Linked DNA regions of Schizosaccharomyces pombe. The protein of the gene in region 1 binds, or shares a complex with, the protein of each later gene. Each region holds a gene or a part of one and is shown in the gene's direction. Other genes may lie near its edges.

Region 1 (4,941 bases):
CCGATTGCTGTATATTGTATTTCGCCCCTGTGACCGTTAAGATTTTGGTCAGACTGAGTGCAGCTTTCGGGGTGCAATAGTAATGCCAAAAATTCAATGGCGTGACATGCGATAATATCGAAATTTCTGTAATGTAAAGCGACTCAACTTTTTCCTGTTCGACAAAATTTGATCATAGGGGAAAAAACGAGATGAAGTTTGGCTATTCATATAACGATGAATTTTATGTGCTGGAGGGAGCTCGGTTGAACCTATTACCATAAGTATTTTTTACAAACACATAATTTTACTGTTTCGTAGCACGGTCTATTATTGTAGAAATGTTTTAACCTTTATAAGCGAGATAAAACAGTCAACTCGTTACGCAAACTTATCGACACTTTGCGAGAGTTAAAGTTACCAAGCTTTCCTACATCGCTGGTTGGAAAGACATAGTTAAAATGAAGCTGGTTTGCTGGCTTTCAAAATAGGAAGATTTCCCAATGTTTTAGTATATAACCGAGATCGCTTAAAATACTTTACTCTGATATCAACAACTCTATGTTCATATCCGTTATCAATCAACAGGGAATTGAGGAACCGTAGCAGTTTTTGTTAAAGTAGAGAAAATGTCAAGTGACCCATAAACTTGTAAATTGGAGATGAACGAACCCCTTAAAAAACCCATTAACGAAACGATTCCCTCTTTTTTTCTCATACAATGAGTTCTTAATAATAAAACTCACATGACAAGTCGGTTCATGAATTCACTTTACTTTGCACTAGACTGCTACAATTCCCTCTCCTTGAAATTTCCAGTACTGCATTGGGACGAAGTTGCCTAGTGTCTTGCCGTCGAAAGGCAGTTTTTGACTCGGCAAGCTTAGAACGTTTTCATGAAACTCTATCAATTGCATAAATGGATGCAAAGACAAACTATTCACGGCATTTGTTTAAACTATTTTTGGATACCGCGATGTAAATAGTATGTATACGGCCTTGATATCCTACTGTACCAACTGTATACTAAATAACGATGCGAAGCGTAGAGGGTTGAAATCAGTAGGAAAAAATACCTACTTTCTGGATTATAATTTCAACCATTCTTTATGAGAATACATTCATGTTGTATTTAGGATCGGTAATTATAGTAATCTACCTTCTCTTTCATCAAAACACACTCTTCAACATGCTAAAAGATCGATACAAAATAAAATCGCAAATGGGATAGTCCGCGCTATGTTATAGAGCATTACGTTGCCATTACTCACCCCACATTCAGTTACTCTATTATACGTAGTTTGTGATACTTAAGGTGATATCGTATACTATGTAAAGACATGCACCAATTCCGTTGTTTAAAATACCAATGTTAATTGCACAGTTTTCAATTCTCCCTAATGTTACGCAGTTTGGTATCTGATTTAAGGATACGGAGAACTGCGGTGAGTTTTCCTTATGGTCTATTTATATTACAATACACAGGTTGTATAAGTAGCAACTGAGTATAGGTATTGTATTAACTGGGTTATAATGTTACCTATCACTAATATAGCTCATAACTGAACTGAGGAACGAGGTTCAGTTGTAACGCTATTTATAATATTTCTAAATAGTTGTTATTAACGGGTATCTATGTATATAGACGGATAATTACCCGTGATTATCAATAAACGGATCTTAGCTAGTATTCCAACATATGACATATAGTGATACGCAACGTAGTGTATCATAGCATAGCGTTATATTAATGGCACTACATTACTTTTTACAATACGATGTTCAAATTTTGTGCATTGCGTTAATGTTTAGTATTTTCAGAGTATGTATATCCACTGCTATTGATTTCACTTCCCCCAAGCTTGATGAATTTTCCTTGATCATGGAAAATGGAGAGATTTTACTGACCAGCTGGCTCAATCGGTCAGTTCATATTGAAATTTTTGATGAGAGAAAATTCATCGGAAAGTTCTTGTGCACTGACAGAGAAGGCGCTGCCATTCTCTCAAATACCACAGAATACAACAAAGGTAAGATTGATATGTGTTCATGAATAGCGCGTCCCTCAAATTCAAGTAAACTTTCGCTGGGTTACTGTTTAAATTGAAAACAAACGTTCCAGCTAGTACCTCTTTCTGTTTTTCACCAATTTCGTCAAAACTAATATAATGAAATCAGGCTTCTCTAGAGCTTTGGGTTTAGTGGTGATTCCAGGAAAGCATATCAAAAGCTTCTCCGTACGTGCCTAAAGCACCCATAAATCTCCTTAACATTTTCATCTCACTTACGTATGTATGTATATATATATATATATATATATTGGAATGAATTCAAAAACGAATATCGCCAGGGATAATCATTACATTCGTACAGATTAAAAAACGCCTATAATTAACATTACAATCTGTACCACTCGTGATAGCACCTCAGTGATAATGATTACTGCAATGAGCAGTCCCTATTTTTGCTTCGCATCCATTTTAACAAATATTTTTTTATTTATTTATAAAAACGAAAGAAGAACATGCTTTCTATGTTAAAATTGACTTTCTGATTTGGGAAAAAACAACAATTGAAACATATCTTCATAAACTAGATGTGCATCAATCAACCTTATCCCGTTTTTCCCATTAGACAAACGAAACGAGATAAATATTAATAAAACAAATCATCATCTATCATGCCACTCATCTGTCGTTTATCTTTAAAGCCCTAACAGATCATCTGTTGCCGATCTAGCCTTTACAGGTTCAGCGTTATTTGTGCTCGGTGCCTCAAAAGCCATGAACAAATCCATTGCACTATTTGAGCCCGACTGAGGTTGTGCGCTGGTTATTGGAGAATCACTGGCAGACGTTGCGCCTGGATCAGTAAAATCAAGGTCAAGCAAATTTTCAACGTTGGCTCCTTTTTCAATAGCTTCATGAACATTGGCTTCTTCAATGTTCAATTCTTCAACAGCTCGACGCTGTATTGCGTCTGCGCCAAACTTGCCCTGGCCAATAAAGGATTCCGGTAATTTATGGTATACAGAAGCAAGAGTTGTGATTTCACACAACAGAGCATCCAAAAGTGCCTCAGGTAGATTGTTATTATAAGATACGGAAGGCTTTTCGCAACAAACAATTTTTTGAGCTTTACGAACATTTTCAGGTGTCAACAACCGCTGATATGCAAAGGCACGATCCCTTAAATCCTGATTGCTTGATTGATTAATTGCATAATTTAATACTTTCTGTACGAGTTCTTCATCGTTTCCTTTGCCGTTCATCAAACTCAATTTTACAACAGCCGTCAGTAAAGCCAATTGAATCTGTAAATCTTCATCCGCCATAGTAGAAATCATTTCGGATAATAGTTTAGAAGAAGTAGGTATAACGTGTGAAAATTCCCCTAAAATCCAAGCCATACTACTACGGGCTCTAGGGTCACCAAGCTCCTCAATGACACGAGAAAGATATGGAAGTAATAAGTCAATCTTTTGAGGGTATTTGCGCAAAACCGTTTCCATCACCACCGTGACTTCTTGAACCATATAACTAATATTTAACTCATAGATTTCAAGAAATATGGAGATGCAATCATTGATGACGCTTGGAACTTTCAATGCAACGTCTCCAAGGCATTTAATCGTTTGTTTCACAAATTCTAGTTCAACTTCGGAAACGTACGCTCGAAGCTCGGAAATGGTCTCGTTAATGTTTTCGTCACATGCAAGCATTGTAATTATCTTTAGTTTCTCCATTTTAATATAAAGAGGATCATTATATTTGCAGAAAAAAACCCGAGTTTTGACATCAAAAATAGAAGGCCTCTTTTGTAATATTAAATTAATGTTCCGTAAGGCTACATACTGGATTTCTGAGTCCGTAGAAAGTAGCGTCAAAAGAGGAGGAGCCATTTTTTTGTACAGAAAGTCTGTAAAGTCACTGGAAAAGAGAGGGATATGTACCATTATGACTTTCACAGCGGACAAAACGACACCACTATTTGCATGTTGGAATTGAGGAACCACCCTTTCACAAACATATTCAGCTTCCTTGATATCAGAAGTGCGAAATCTAGCTAAAGAATTCAAAATAGTAATCCGACCCCACTCATTACACTCACTCAAAGCAACCATTAGCCTGTCTGTCATCGTGTAAACTACATTAAAATATCCCTTTTCAGGGTCCTGATCATGAATTTCAGCAAGTGAGCGGACTGCATTAGCCACAACCACAGGATTCGGATCAGATACCAACGCCTGCAATTGTTCGATGAAACCATTTGATGCACAGTATTCTCGATCAAGGTCATACATCTTTACAACACAAACCGCTGCAGCCTTACGAACATAGGGATGCTCATCCTTCAAAGCTTTTCGCAACGGATCTGCCAAATAGCCAATGATTTTATTTACCCGAATGCAACCCATAGTTCTAATTGCCAGAGCTCGTAAAGTAGGATTATATTCCTCAGAATCCTTTACAAAAGTATTAACGGCTAAAATACAAAGATCAGGGTGTGTTTTGGCATAGTTAATTAGATATAAATAAACCAGTTTTTTCAAGGTGATATCGCGAGTAGCTAGGTTCTTTAAAACATCGGGAAACAGACTAGACACATCCTTGCCAACAGTCATTGCGGCAATAGTCCGTTTCACAGCATCAATTCTCTCGTAGGCATACTGAGAAACTAGTCCCTTTTGTAATTCACTTGTTTCGCTTTTTTTAAATGCCTTAAAACGGCTCGATTGAAACAACTTTGGAACCATTCGGTACTATTGTATAATTCCGCTCTTTATGTAGCTCTTTTAAAGGTGGTAAACGTCCTAAGGTCAAAAACACGTTTACATATATAAAGCAGTGGTTCAATAATCATGTCAAGTCAAACCCATTCGGTGAGAAACACCCACTCCCAGAAGTAACAAAGGTGACAATATCGAATACTGAAATCCAATTTCTATATATTCATGATTTC
Region 2 (2,962 bases), 2.3 Mb from region 1:
TTTCATACTAAAAAAATTCATTATTAACACTTTTCGAAAGTATTTACCTGTGAGACCTAAATTGAGGCTTTTAGAAGTATTTCTCAAAGTATTCAACTCGAAAAGATTAATTATATGACCATTATTTAAAAAAGGTGTAAGAATGGACTTTGAAATTGAAAACGAGTCGGAAATTCCACAGCTGGTTGACGTTGAAGAGGTTAACACACAACCGCATTCGGAAACATTAAGCGTACCTACGGTTTCGTCCAATAATGATATTGATTCATTTGAGCAGCAATCAGATTTTCTTCTAGTTGATCATGACTCTACCTTGGACCCAGTCCCTGTCACAATACTGACGGGCTTTTTGGGTGCCGGTAAAACTTCTTTGCTACGGTCAATTCTTGAAAATCGAAATGGTAAAAGGGTTGCTGTATTAATGAATGAGGTGGGTGATTCGGGAGACCTTGAAAGGAGCTTAATGGAGGATGTTGGAGGAGAAGAACTTTATGAAGAGTGGGTGGCTCTTTCAAATGGGTGCATGTGTTGCACTGTGAAAGACAATGGGATTAAAGCTTTGGAAAAAATTATGAGGCAAAAGGGGAGATTTGATAACATTGTAATTGAAACAACGGGTATAGCCAATCCTGGTCCTCTTGCTCAAACATTTTGGTTGGACGACGCGTTGAAAAGCGATGTCAAGTTAGATGGCATCGTTACTGTTATTGATTGTAAAAATATAGATAATATCTTAAAGGATGAAAGTGATATTGGTTTTATTCAAATTTCACATGCTGATTGTTTGATCTTAAACAAAACAGATCTTATTTCTTCTGAAGCATTATCTGTGGTACGTCAAACTATATTGAAGATCAATTGCTTAGCGAAGATTATTGAAACAACATATGGACGGTTGGATGACATTTCTGAAATTTTGGACTTGGATGCATACGGCAACGAAAATACTTCTAATCTTGAGTGGTCGATTCAAAGGAGCAATGATAGCAATATTAATTGTTCTACTTGTTTGGACGTGGATTGCCAACATTTGCATTCTCTCGATACGCATAGCCTTGATATCTCAACTCATACTTTTAAACTGCCCCCACTAATGTCGAAAGAGGTTTTTCAGCAATTTCTACAATGGGTTCGTCATACACTTTGGTCTTGTTTGGAGGAAGGGGAAGACGAGGAGTTTATGATTTATCGAAGTAAAGGAATTTTTAATAAAGACGATGGCTCTTGGTACATCTTTCAGGGTGTTCGCGAAGTATTCGAAATTATGCCGCTGTCGGAGAAGCCTCGAGCATTTTTAGAAAAGGATATCCATCCCGAAATTATCCTAATTGGGCGTAATCTACATCGAATATCTCCTTTCGTCGTCGGAAACCAATAATGGCAGTTATTTTATATTTCATTTTAATAATGTATATTGATATATGTTTGTTGAATTAATTTTAAATGTACGCAATAAAAAGCTTTTATACTAAATTATTTTATATAACACTCAATATTATAAATGTCATATCATTGACATAGATGTAACAAATCCAAGCAAAAAAGCCAAATTATAAACTTAATTTATACTGGCCTACTCGTTTATTCATTGTTTATAATACTCAGTTTAAGAACCGCATATAACGTTTTAACGCTATATCTGTAATTTCGACATTCGTCTTAAAGCTGTTGATATATACAGCTCTGCAACCGTTACAGACCCTAAATTATATCTAGAAGAGAATGGTGACAATTGTCCCATACAGTCACCAATATTTAAAAGATATATGTCAGCTTATTCAAAAAGATTTGAGTGAGCCATATAGTAAATATGTGTATCGTTATTTTGTGCACCAATGGTATGTTCCCATTTCATTGATTTCTCAAACTGCTTCTTGCATATTATGAAACTCGGCAATATCATTATAGTTTACTGACAGATTAAAGGCCAGAATTCAGTTTTGTTGCTTTAGATAATGATCGATTTATTGGAGCTGTAATATGCAAACAAGATGTTCATAGAGGGACGACGCTTAGAGGTTATATAGCAATGCTGGCCATAGTAAAAGAATACAGGGGACAAGGAATCGCTACTAAATTGACTCAAGCTAGTCTGGATGTAATGAAAAATAGAGGTGCCCAGGAAATTGTTTTGGAAACAGAGGTGGATAATGAGGCAGCCATGTCTTTTTATGAAAGACTCGGGTTTTGTCGCTATAAACGTCTTTATCGTTATTATTTGAACGGCACTGATGCATTTCGATACATCTTGTACCCGAATTGAAAAACAATGCTACAAAATAAAATCGCGGCATTTTCTATGCTCTAAGAAAATTTGTTTCCACTTGTCGCAGTATAAGTGAAAGTTTTAAAGTTGTTCCAATCTATTTATTTTTTTTTATTTTTTTTCTTCTACTGATTAATACCATAAGTAATTGTCATTAGTCGTCACTGTAGCGTAACTCCGTAATTATAACTGTAATAAACAGTGTTTACATTGATTCAAAGAAATTGTACGGATGTTCATAAAAATAATATCATTCCATTAAATGTAAACTTCATTAATAGTAAAACATAAAGTCTACAGCTGAATAAATAAAGAAGCTTCAACGTAAACTGCTAACTCTCCAAACAAACAATCACCATTCATTAAAAGAAATTAGTAAAAATACAATCATTACATGCATTAGTGGCTCAAATTGCCTTGCTAGCAAATTGTTAACACTTCTTATAAACATTGTCCTTCATTTTGTATGACAGAAAAATAAACCATTAAGCCATTGAGACTTGCTTGGTTGTTTCAAGAACTGACTCTCAATTTCATTAACGAAGATCCCTTCTAGGTGCTTCCGTATTAAATTGTTCGTAAAAGCTGATGCGAGAAAGTTCTGGTTTATTTTGAATTAGAGGGCTTATTTTACGTGATTGTACCAAAGAAGCGACAGACTCATAAGGCGGGTTGTCCTGGAAAACAGCGTAACTA
Region 3 (7,597 bases), 3.5 Mb from region 1:
TCTTTTTACATTTTTTATTGTTTTTTAAAGCAATTAATCAAGGATGAACTTTTATTCCTTGTTGCCATCTAGACATGATGTTAGCGCGGATAATATTACTGAAAAGTTCTGCCAATTCTGTCTTTGCTGCAATCCCTGGTATGCAGGTGCTGACACGAGGCAATTAGCAAATGCATTCAATATGATTCCTAAATCAGAGGGTCAAAAATTTGAGATTTGGGTCTTATTTCTCCTTGTCCGGCAATACCACCAAAAAATAATTAACTCTTGGTCCAAGCTGGTGGGTTTTCTTGGTGTGGAACGAAAAGATGAACAATCTACTCAAAAAATACAACAGTATGTTGTTCGTTTAAAACGGTGGATGAGTCAAACACATGTTGATGCTTTTTTCGATTATCTCCTGAATAAACCAAATCCTTATTATCTCGAAATTCCTGAAACCCAACCTCAAGTTCGATGCAATGTAAATGTAACTGATGATTTGGTTATTAAATCTTTACGTGCAGGCTTAATGTCTCATCCAGATGTTAACTCTTCCTCCATCTCCACAATGCGCACGTCAACCTCCCCTTCTAACTGGATTCATTCAGCTAGTGCTAGTTTAGACGACAACACTCACAATCTTGGTAGCTTTGTCACAAACCCTCATGCAGATTCCCAAGAATGCCCTACCCCTCAATCCCTTTTAATGAGAGCGTCCCATCACATGTCTGAACGAGGTTCTCAACAAGCACATCAGACAACTCCTCAAAACCATTCTCTCCCACATCCTCCAAATATGTTTGAACCACCTGACGAAGACCATCAGTTACCTTCCGCAGCCAACAATTCACATAACCATGATCACGCTTTTCAAACTGCTGAAGCAGTTGGCGTTGCTGATTCCATTGATCCTGACTGGCATCAATGGCCTGATGATTTACGAGACGTTTCTTCACCCAAAGAAAGTGACGGGTTGAATGATTCTTGGTCTCGACAAACCAATCAAGTAGAAACGGAAAATGTTGAAAATGAAGCAGGAGTCCCTCGTAAACGCGGGCGTCCGCCAGGAGCTCGTAACAAAATTAAACGGCTGAGATCTGAACCATCTGTGTCATTAACGCTAAGTATCTCTTGGTATGAAAGATTTGAAAAGTTGATGCATGCTCAAAATACAATGCTTCGCTCTGCATTTTCACATGTTGCTCGTCTGCCCATGGAAACGGTTTCTCAACTTTTATCACACTATACTGAAACGATATCCCAATATCTTCCTCCCTCCGAAACTTCGCCGATCCCCAAAACTCCCAATTTTAAGTTCATCTCAAGTACTCTTTTAGCCCTGGTCTCTTCTCATTCCGAAATCCTTGAAGCCAGTACCGATCGCTTAATTTGGACCGTTCATCAAGGACCATTAACAGCTACTATATGTCATGCATTCAATTTGGAAAAAGCGCCGAGTATGCACTCATTAGCAGAAGCTCAGATGATTCCCGATGTCCCTATATCTCATTCAAATTCAATGGAGCCTTTAGACACTGTTTCCTCATTAAAATTAGAAATTGCCAAACTGAATGCGGCCCTAAAAGAAAAAAATTTAGAACTCGAAAATTTAAAGAGAAAGATTATGAATGCAGTGTTTGACTGAAATCACGATTCTTCCATGCATGTATCTATTTATGCAGTACACTTTGCGACTGCACGTTCCACGAACTGGTGCAATTTCAAAGTTACAAAATTCTCATGTTCAAAAAAGCATAATTGTTTAAAGTATTTATTTTGTTTTCCTTCTCTTTATTTTATAAAAAGTTTTTAGATATTCTACTGCTAGGTGAGATGGGTTACCATCGAGATAGTTTTTTACCTTTGCAGATACAAGTAAAATAATTTCAAATTGGATTTATCATTGTTTTTATTATTATTGAAAAAATTACCATCTTATTTACTCTCGAAAATGTTATTGAACAAGCATTTTTATGCGTGGAATTTTTGTTGTGACTTACAGAGTAACACTTTTCATTAACCCATAAACTAGACGTTCAATAGAAAATTGGTCAATATAGGGGTGTTTTGTCGATTTTATGTCTGTTAAAGAGTCCCTATCATTGCTTAATTCTATGCAAGGAAATGTGAAGATTGGAAATGTGGAACCGGCCAAAGGGAACGAAGGTTATGTTGATAACGCTGGATATGTCGACTGTACAAAGTCTTACTTTGAAGCCACGAAATCTCTGAAAGAGGAACAGCTAGTATGTGATCCAAAATTTACATTATTGGATTCAATCAGTGCCTTTGAAATTATGGAACCGAAAATGGATAGTGGGATTGATTATCAGCCACTTCGTGTAGATTTTTCACGTGATCTCTCTTACTTGGAAATATTAGCGTTAATGGATTTAATTGTCTCTGCGGAAAAAGAGTGGCATTATGGATCCCCCTTATCAGAGAGCTTACTCTGTAGTGCCCATGTGTTCTCCATTTGCAAGTCGCCTATTTCACAAGTGGGTGACAGTGGCTTCTCCAGTGGTAGCGGAAGGAATACAACTGACATCGTTCTTTTCCCTTTTGTTTTGGCTGTTATTAAATGTTGCGATATTGTTCATCGAGAATTTCTGATGGGAAATTTATATGACGAGGAAGACATTAGTTCGTTTTCATATCACATGTCCTTTCTTCAAAATTACCCCATAGAAAAACTCAATTATCTTTTGCAATCTAGCATCGAATATTTGGCTTCCGAGGTTATAAAATTTTCTGCCGAGTTACGACAAATTATCGAGGGAATTCTCAATAGAATACAACTTCGAATTGGTATTTTACGAGTGTATGAAAGGAGTGATATTAAGACCACCATCGATGCTCTCCATCTGATCAAAAATTTGGTACCCGAGATTCAGAACACGGTTTCGGTAGTTGATTCATCTATCAAGGAGAGCATATTAAAGCAATATTGGGATTTTCGCGTCCAAGCCCAATTAGTTGCTACAGCTCCTGTGAGGAATATTCCTCCTACTGGCATTGAGCATTCTTATCAACGAATTTTGTATTTTGCTGATGATATGCTTTTGATTTTGAATAGCCACACTCTCGCTTCTTCCTTGGCAGTATATCAGTTTTGTTTAGATTTTACGAGATTGAATCGTACTCCAGAGCCTTACGTCCGTTCCTCCCTTCAAGCACTTATCACTGCTAACAATGCAGTTAATCTAAGGGATCAACCTACTTCGTATATGTTAGAATGTATTCGTGAGTTTTCTGGGCTTCCTTCAAATTTTTATAATCCTAACACCCGTACAGTAATCGAAAAAAACTCTATCTCATCAGCCTATGGTCCGCTAGTTGAGTCTTTGATTGCTCATTCAACTAATATCATGGTTGACCTTGTCCGAATTTGTTCCCACAATCCCTGTCGGTTCCGCCGTAATCTAATAAATTTACTTCCTGAAATTACCGTTGCTCATTTTGAAGCTGAAGCGCTTGATTTGAAATTCGTAGCAAAAAGCCTACCAAGTAATGGACCGTTTTCATCATTTATTTACCATGTTAAGCTAAATGCAATTGAGCATATCTTGCTTTCTTCCTTTGAACAAAAACTTCACCAACCATATCAATGGCCCCATTTTTTTGCTGTGCTTGATCATGTCTTTTCTATCCACCAGACTCATTTAGAGCTTCATGGAAAGGATCGTAATACCCCACCTATGGCCAAAACCTTTGTTACATATTTGCATCGAATATTGAATGCTATAAAGGAGACCTATTCTGGCTATTTACTAGTATGTATAAAGCTTATCGCTTCTTTTTTATTCTAACGATTTTAGCTGACGGTGCTTTGTATGCGGTTGAATATCATTAAAACTCCTTCATTTACTCTTGATGAAAAAATTCAAGAGTCATATTACATGGCCCATTATCGTCCTTTAATTAATTTGCGTCAACCCAAGCCACTACTTCGTTCGGAAGCTGATTGCATAATCAAAAATCTTCAAAATTTCTCTACGGATGATTTAATCATCAAATCTAATGAAAAATTCACTGCTGCAAAGAATAGCCTTATTAATGTTATAAAATCCGGTTTTGAACAGAATGAGTTCATCAACCCGTATTTCTTGCAAACCAACTATTTAAAAAATTTATTATGTTGCTGCATTACAAATCTGGTTTCACTTGCAATCTTATCCAAAGATCATAGTGCTAATCTAAAAATAGTGGAAATACCTGGAAATCCGCTCCCAAGTCTTTCACGTACATGAGGTGTTGTTCGTCTTTTATGTTAATAAATCAAAATTATCAAAAGTTAGGTTTTCAATATTTTTTTAATCATTCAATCTAATTATTGCTGACTATTTTAAAAACATTTTCCTAAAATCATCGTTGCTTTTAGGTGCATCTATCTGCATTTCTTTATCGTCTAAATCGTCCTTCTTAGAATTTATATTGGAATGATTGGAATTGAAACCTTGAAACGTTCGGCTTCCGAGTCGCCGTGGGCGTGTAGCAGAGGTATTGTAATCGGAATGATTCATACTAGATGGGACATTGTGCATCATTTCATTGACAGTGGTAATGTGTAGTAACCTGCCACCAATTTCATGTCCTTCTAATGCCAAGGATGCCTTTCCCGCATCATGAATATCCAAAAACTCTACTACAGCACCTTCATGTTCAGGATGAAGAACAACTCTATACAACTTTCCGTAGCTTTCGAATAAACTTCTAAGTCTAGCCTCGTTAACAGTCCCGTCGACATTAGTGACTCCTAGGCTTTTGCTTTTGATTTGTTCGAATGATTTTTTTGGCGTTGACATTTTATTTGACTCAGTAGTCTCAAAGCTTTTAGCTAAGGTTCGGTTGTCATTGGATGATACCCTTGTTTTCTCTAGAGATTCTCGAGGCTTCGACAAAACAACGTTCAAAACTCTATTTCCCAATTGCTTTCCAGCAGCAGAAAGTGCATTTTCAGCATCTTGATTTGTAGTCATTACCACATATCCAAAACCTTTATGTTGATTAAATCTTTTCGGTATTCGAACACTCTCAACCTGCCCATAATCCCTAAAAAATGTTTCTACGTCTTTTTCATTTACTTTAAAATCAATATTTGTAACGTAGAGTTCTCTACCCTCATAGACAGCACCGCTTCTAGGAGTTCGCCGAAGCGGGTCTGATATAAAGACTTGAATAGGATACTTCTCTTCCAATAGCTTCTTATGTAACTGCAGGGCATTGTGTGCCTCATCGGGCTTTCTCATTTGTACATAACAAAAACGCCTGTTCGTGTTATACCTTAGACTAGGAAAACGGACGTCAACCACATTACCATATGCAGAAAATAATTTGGTTATATCTAATTCATCATAAGTCGGAGGAAAATTGGTAACGTAGAGGTTCGTGTCTACATGAATTTGAACAGAAATTTCATGACCCCTTATCGATTTAAGGTCTCTTGTTTTAGCAGCAAGAACTTCACTGGTTTCAGAAAATTCAATCTGAGCCACTTTAACATCCTTTTGATTGTCTTCGAGGATAAAAATGCGTATAATATTACCACAATCTTTGAAAAAAATTTTCAACTCATTTTCGCTTATATCGGAAGGTAGATTGGTAACCAAAACTGTAAGTTCTTCCCTATTCCTGTGTTGCTCAATAGGTTTCGACTTTTTGAACACATCACCTTCTTGCCCAGGTTTTCTTTTCTTTGAAAGGGCGGCTGTATCATCAGCTTGAGGCACTTTTAGTGGTTCGGTGTTTTCGACAGTCTGCTTCGTTTCTTCAGCAAAAGAATCCAATTGACGTTTGAAGCTAATCCTCTGTGCATTTAAAACGTCATATAAATGTGATGTGTTTGTGAAACAGTCATTATTAAGGTCCATAATGGATTGATAAAATTGGAACAGAAGTTGAGGCTGATCAACGTTTTTGTAAAGGCTTTTTTTTAACGTCTCAGCCGCAAGCTCTGGGTTATACTTCATCGTACTTATGTATCGAGAAATCCAATATAATGCCTGATTTTGAAAATCATGAAACATATCAGACCAGCACTTTTCTACGCTTTCAAAATCAGAGATTTCTGAATATAAATAAATTTTTGAAAGTTCAATGCGCATTCTTGCATCCTTTGATCCCTTATGATTTTTTCGCAAATAGTCTTCGACTTTATGAATTTGATGTTTCAAAAATTCCTGTGGCTTATCTTCATTAGAAGACAAATATAGGCATGCTTTTAAAAATCCGCTAAAAAAATCAATAACCTCGTCAAAATTTACGAGCAAATTTGAATTCAAACATCGATCTTTCTCTTCACAGACAGCCGATGTGGATGCTCCAGAAAGCGTCATATAAGTCAGTTTAATGGACCAAATACGCCCAATCCATGAACAGTTACGAGTAGCTCGTTCTGCTACACTGGACGCTTGAGAAGAAGAAAAATCCACTTTACTAAGCCAGGCAGTGTATTGCAACCAGAGTTCCGGAATGAGGGGATACAAAACTATGGCACGCTCATAGAGAGTTGTTATATATTGTAACTCAGCTGTTGAGCGTCGCGATTCATCATTAATTAAATCCATATACGCTTCGAGAGAATGATTTGCGCTGTTTAACAATAGTTCTTTATTAAAAATTTTTGCATTTCTTTTAAGTGTAGTCTCATACACTTTATTGCTTTTCACCATAACATCCTCATATTCGGAAGGAGACCAGTTATTTGTGACAAACGTTGATAAAGAAGTAAACGTTTCTTCAATCTGCTCATGTGGAAGTTTTAATCTATCAATATGAAAATCATATATCTTGTTTTTAAAAACAATTTCTTGCTCTTCTTCTCCCTCAAATAGAGCATCACCGAACGTCTGTAAAAATTCCAAATATAACGTCCAAACACATTGACTCTGTAAACATTGATTAGTAAATACATTTTTATCATGAAGAAAATTTTTAGTTCCTTACTTTAGAAAAATGAAATTTGCAAGTTTGGTATGCACGTTCAAAAAGAGAATGGGCATCTGTCAAAGTAATAACGCCGTTTAATTCAGACTGTTCTTGTTCAAAAGAAGAAGTGTCCATTAAGTTTAGCGTAAATTCAAGATACATACACCAAATTTTGATTGACAGATAATCTTGAACTGCCAAATCAAACAATGTTTTTATCCTCACATAGTCGTCTAAAGTCCTACAGTTTTTGCACTCATCTAAAAGGTAATCTACCCACAAATCTAAAAACCATTAATAAATGCTTGTCAAAAGATTAACAAAGTTAAAGTAATTAGTGAATAATTTTTGCGAGTCTATGGAATTCGCCTCAACACGCTTTACCTAGACGATTGTTGATTGACATACCTTCTGAAAGTGGAAAGATCGATTGAAAAGTCTTTCTAGCCTCTGACAACTCCTTCTTTTTATCTAGACGCTTTAACTCTTCAATGAGTTTAATATGACTATCATAATTATAGGGATGTAAAATCGTAAATTTGGTCAATTCATCCAGAAGCAAAGGCTTTTTTTCGTTTTGTTCTTGTGGATCAATATCCATTTCGACATTCTCATCTTTTAAATCTTGTATTTGACTCATTTCGTCAAAACCGACGAAGACTAGGCTTTTGCTGGGTTCCTTAGGTAA

Evidence for each region.
Region 2: the proteins of naa38 (region 1) and naa30 are in contact, whole or in part, in a cryo-EM structure (PDB 7L1K), measured with the Schizosaccharomyces pombe proteins. Residues at the interface, in NP_595273.3 of Schizosaccharomyces pombe: Cys32 (codon at 1,955), Thr33 (codon at 1,958), Asp34 (codon at 1,961), Glu36 (codon at 1,967), Ala38 (codon at 1,973), Ile40 (codon at 1,979), Val59 (codon at 2,184); in NP_596246.1 of Schizosaccharomyces pombe: Lys13 (codon at 1,759), Ser28 (codon at 1,804), Lys29 (codon at 1,807), Tyr30 (codon at 1,810), Arg33 (codon at 1,819).
Region 3: the proteins of naa38 (region 1) and naa35 are in contact, whole or in part, in a cryo-EM structure (PDB 7L1K), measured with the Schizosaccharomyces pombe proteins. Residues at the interface, in NP_595273.3 of Schizosaccharomyces pombe: Gly4 (codon at 1,871), Glu5 (codon at 1,874), Leu7 (codon at 1,880), Leu8 (codon at 1,883), Thr9 (codon at 1,886), Trp11 (codon at 1,892), Leu12 (codon at 1,895), Asn13 (codon at 1,898), Ser15 (codon at 1,904), Val16 (codon at 1,907), His17 (codon at 1,910), Ile20 (codon at 1,919), Asp22 (codon at 1,925), Arg24 (codon at 1,931), Phe26 (codon at 1,937), Ile27 (codon at 1,940), Leu31 (codon at 1,952), Cys32 (codon at 1,955), Thr33 (codon at 1,958), Asp34 (codon at 1,961), Arg35 (codon at 1,964), Glu36 (codon at 1,967), Gly37 (codon at 1,970), Ala38 (codon at 1,973), Ala39 (codon at 1,976), Ile40 (codon at 1,979), Asn48 (codon at 2,003), Lys49 (codon at 2,006), Phe51 (codon at 2,160), Arg53 (codon at 2,166); in NP_596720.1 of Schizosaccharomyces pombe: Ala35 (codon at 2,163), Gly36 (codon at 2,166), Tyr37 (codon at 2,169), Val38 (codon at 2,172), Asp39 (codon at 2,175), Cys40 (codon at 2,178), Thr41 (codon at 2,181), Ser43 (codon at 2,187), Tyr44 (codon at 2,190), Phe45 (codon at 2,193), Ala47 (codon at 2,199), Thr48 (codon at 2,202), Lys49 (codon at 2,205), Ser50 (codon at 2,208), Leu51 (codon at 2,211), Lys52 (codon at 2,214), Glu53 (codon at 2,217), Gln55 (codon at 2,223), Leu56 (codon at 2,226), Val57 (codon at 2,229), Cys58 (codon at 2,232), Asp59 (codon at 2,235), Phe62 (codon at 2,244), Asp66 (codon at 2,256), Ser67 (codon at 2,259), Ala70 (codon at 2,268), Phe71 (codon at 2,271), Glu72 (codon at 2,274), Ile73 (codon at 2,277), Met74 (codon at 2,280).

Annotation. Positions count from the first base shown.
Region 1 is NC_003423.3:674,900-679,840, forward strand, and holds naa38 (putative NatC N-acetyltransferase non-catalytic subunit Naa38), read left to right. Parts: upstream 1-1,837; 5' UTR 1,838-1,861; coding exon 1,862-2,009; exon of another isoform or gene 2,010-2,157; coding exon 2,158-2,228; 3' UTR 2,229-2,683; downstream 2,684-4,941. Other genes in the region: AP-1 adaptor complex beta subunit Apl2, read right to left, coding at 2,684-4,735. UniProt on the Schizosaccharomyces pombe protein: Component of the NatC N-terminal acetyltransferase, which associates with the ribosome to acetylate nascent protein chains in a cotranslational manner.
Region 2 is NC_003423.3:3,020,711-3,023,672, forward strand, and holds naa30 (NatC N-acetyltransferase complex catalytic subunit Naa30), read left to right. Parts: upstream 1-1,687; 5' UTR 1,688-1,722; coding exon 1,723-1,838; intron 1,839-1,926; coding exon 1,927-2,263; 3' UTR 2,264-2,420; downstream 2,421-2,962. Other genes in the region: zng1 (nucleotide-binding domain-containing protein CobW/HypB/UreG), read left to right, coding at 143-1,378; autophagy-associated protein Atg9, read right to left, coding at 2,803-2,962. UniProt on the Schizosaccharomyces pombe protein: Catalytic component of the NatC N-terminal acetyltransferase.
Region 3 is NC_003423.3:4,131,659-4,139,255, forward strand, and holds naa35 (NatC N-acetyltransferase complex subunit Mak10), read left to right. Parts: upstream 1-2,000; 5' UTR 2,001-2,060; coding exon 2,061-3,755; intron 3,756-3,800; coding exon 3,801-4,232; 3' UTR 4,233-4,322; coding exon of another isoform or gene 4,323-6,869; 3' UTR 6,870-6,927; downstream 6,928-7,597. Other genes in the region: ARS-binding protein Abp2, read left to right, coding at 44-1,627; RNA-binding protein Prp24, read right to left, coding at 4,323-6,869, 6,928-7,193, 7,318-7,549. UniProt on the Schizosaccharomyces pombe protein: Component of the NatC N-terminal acetyltransferase.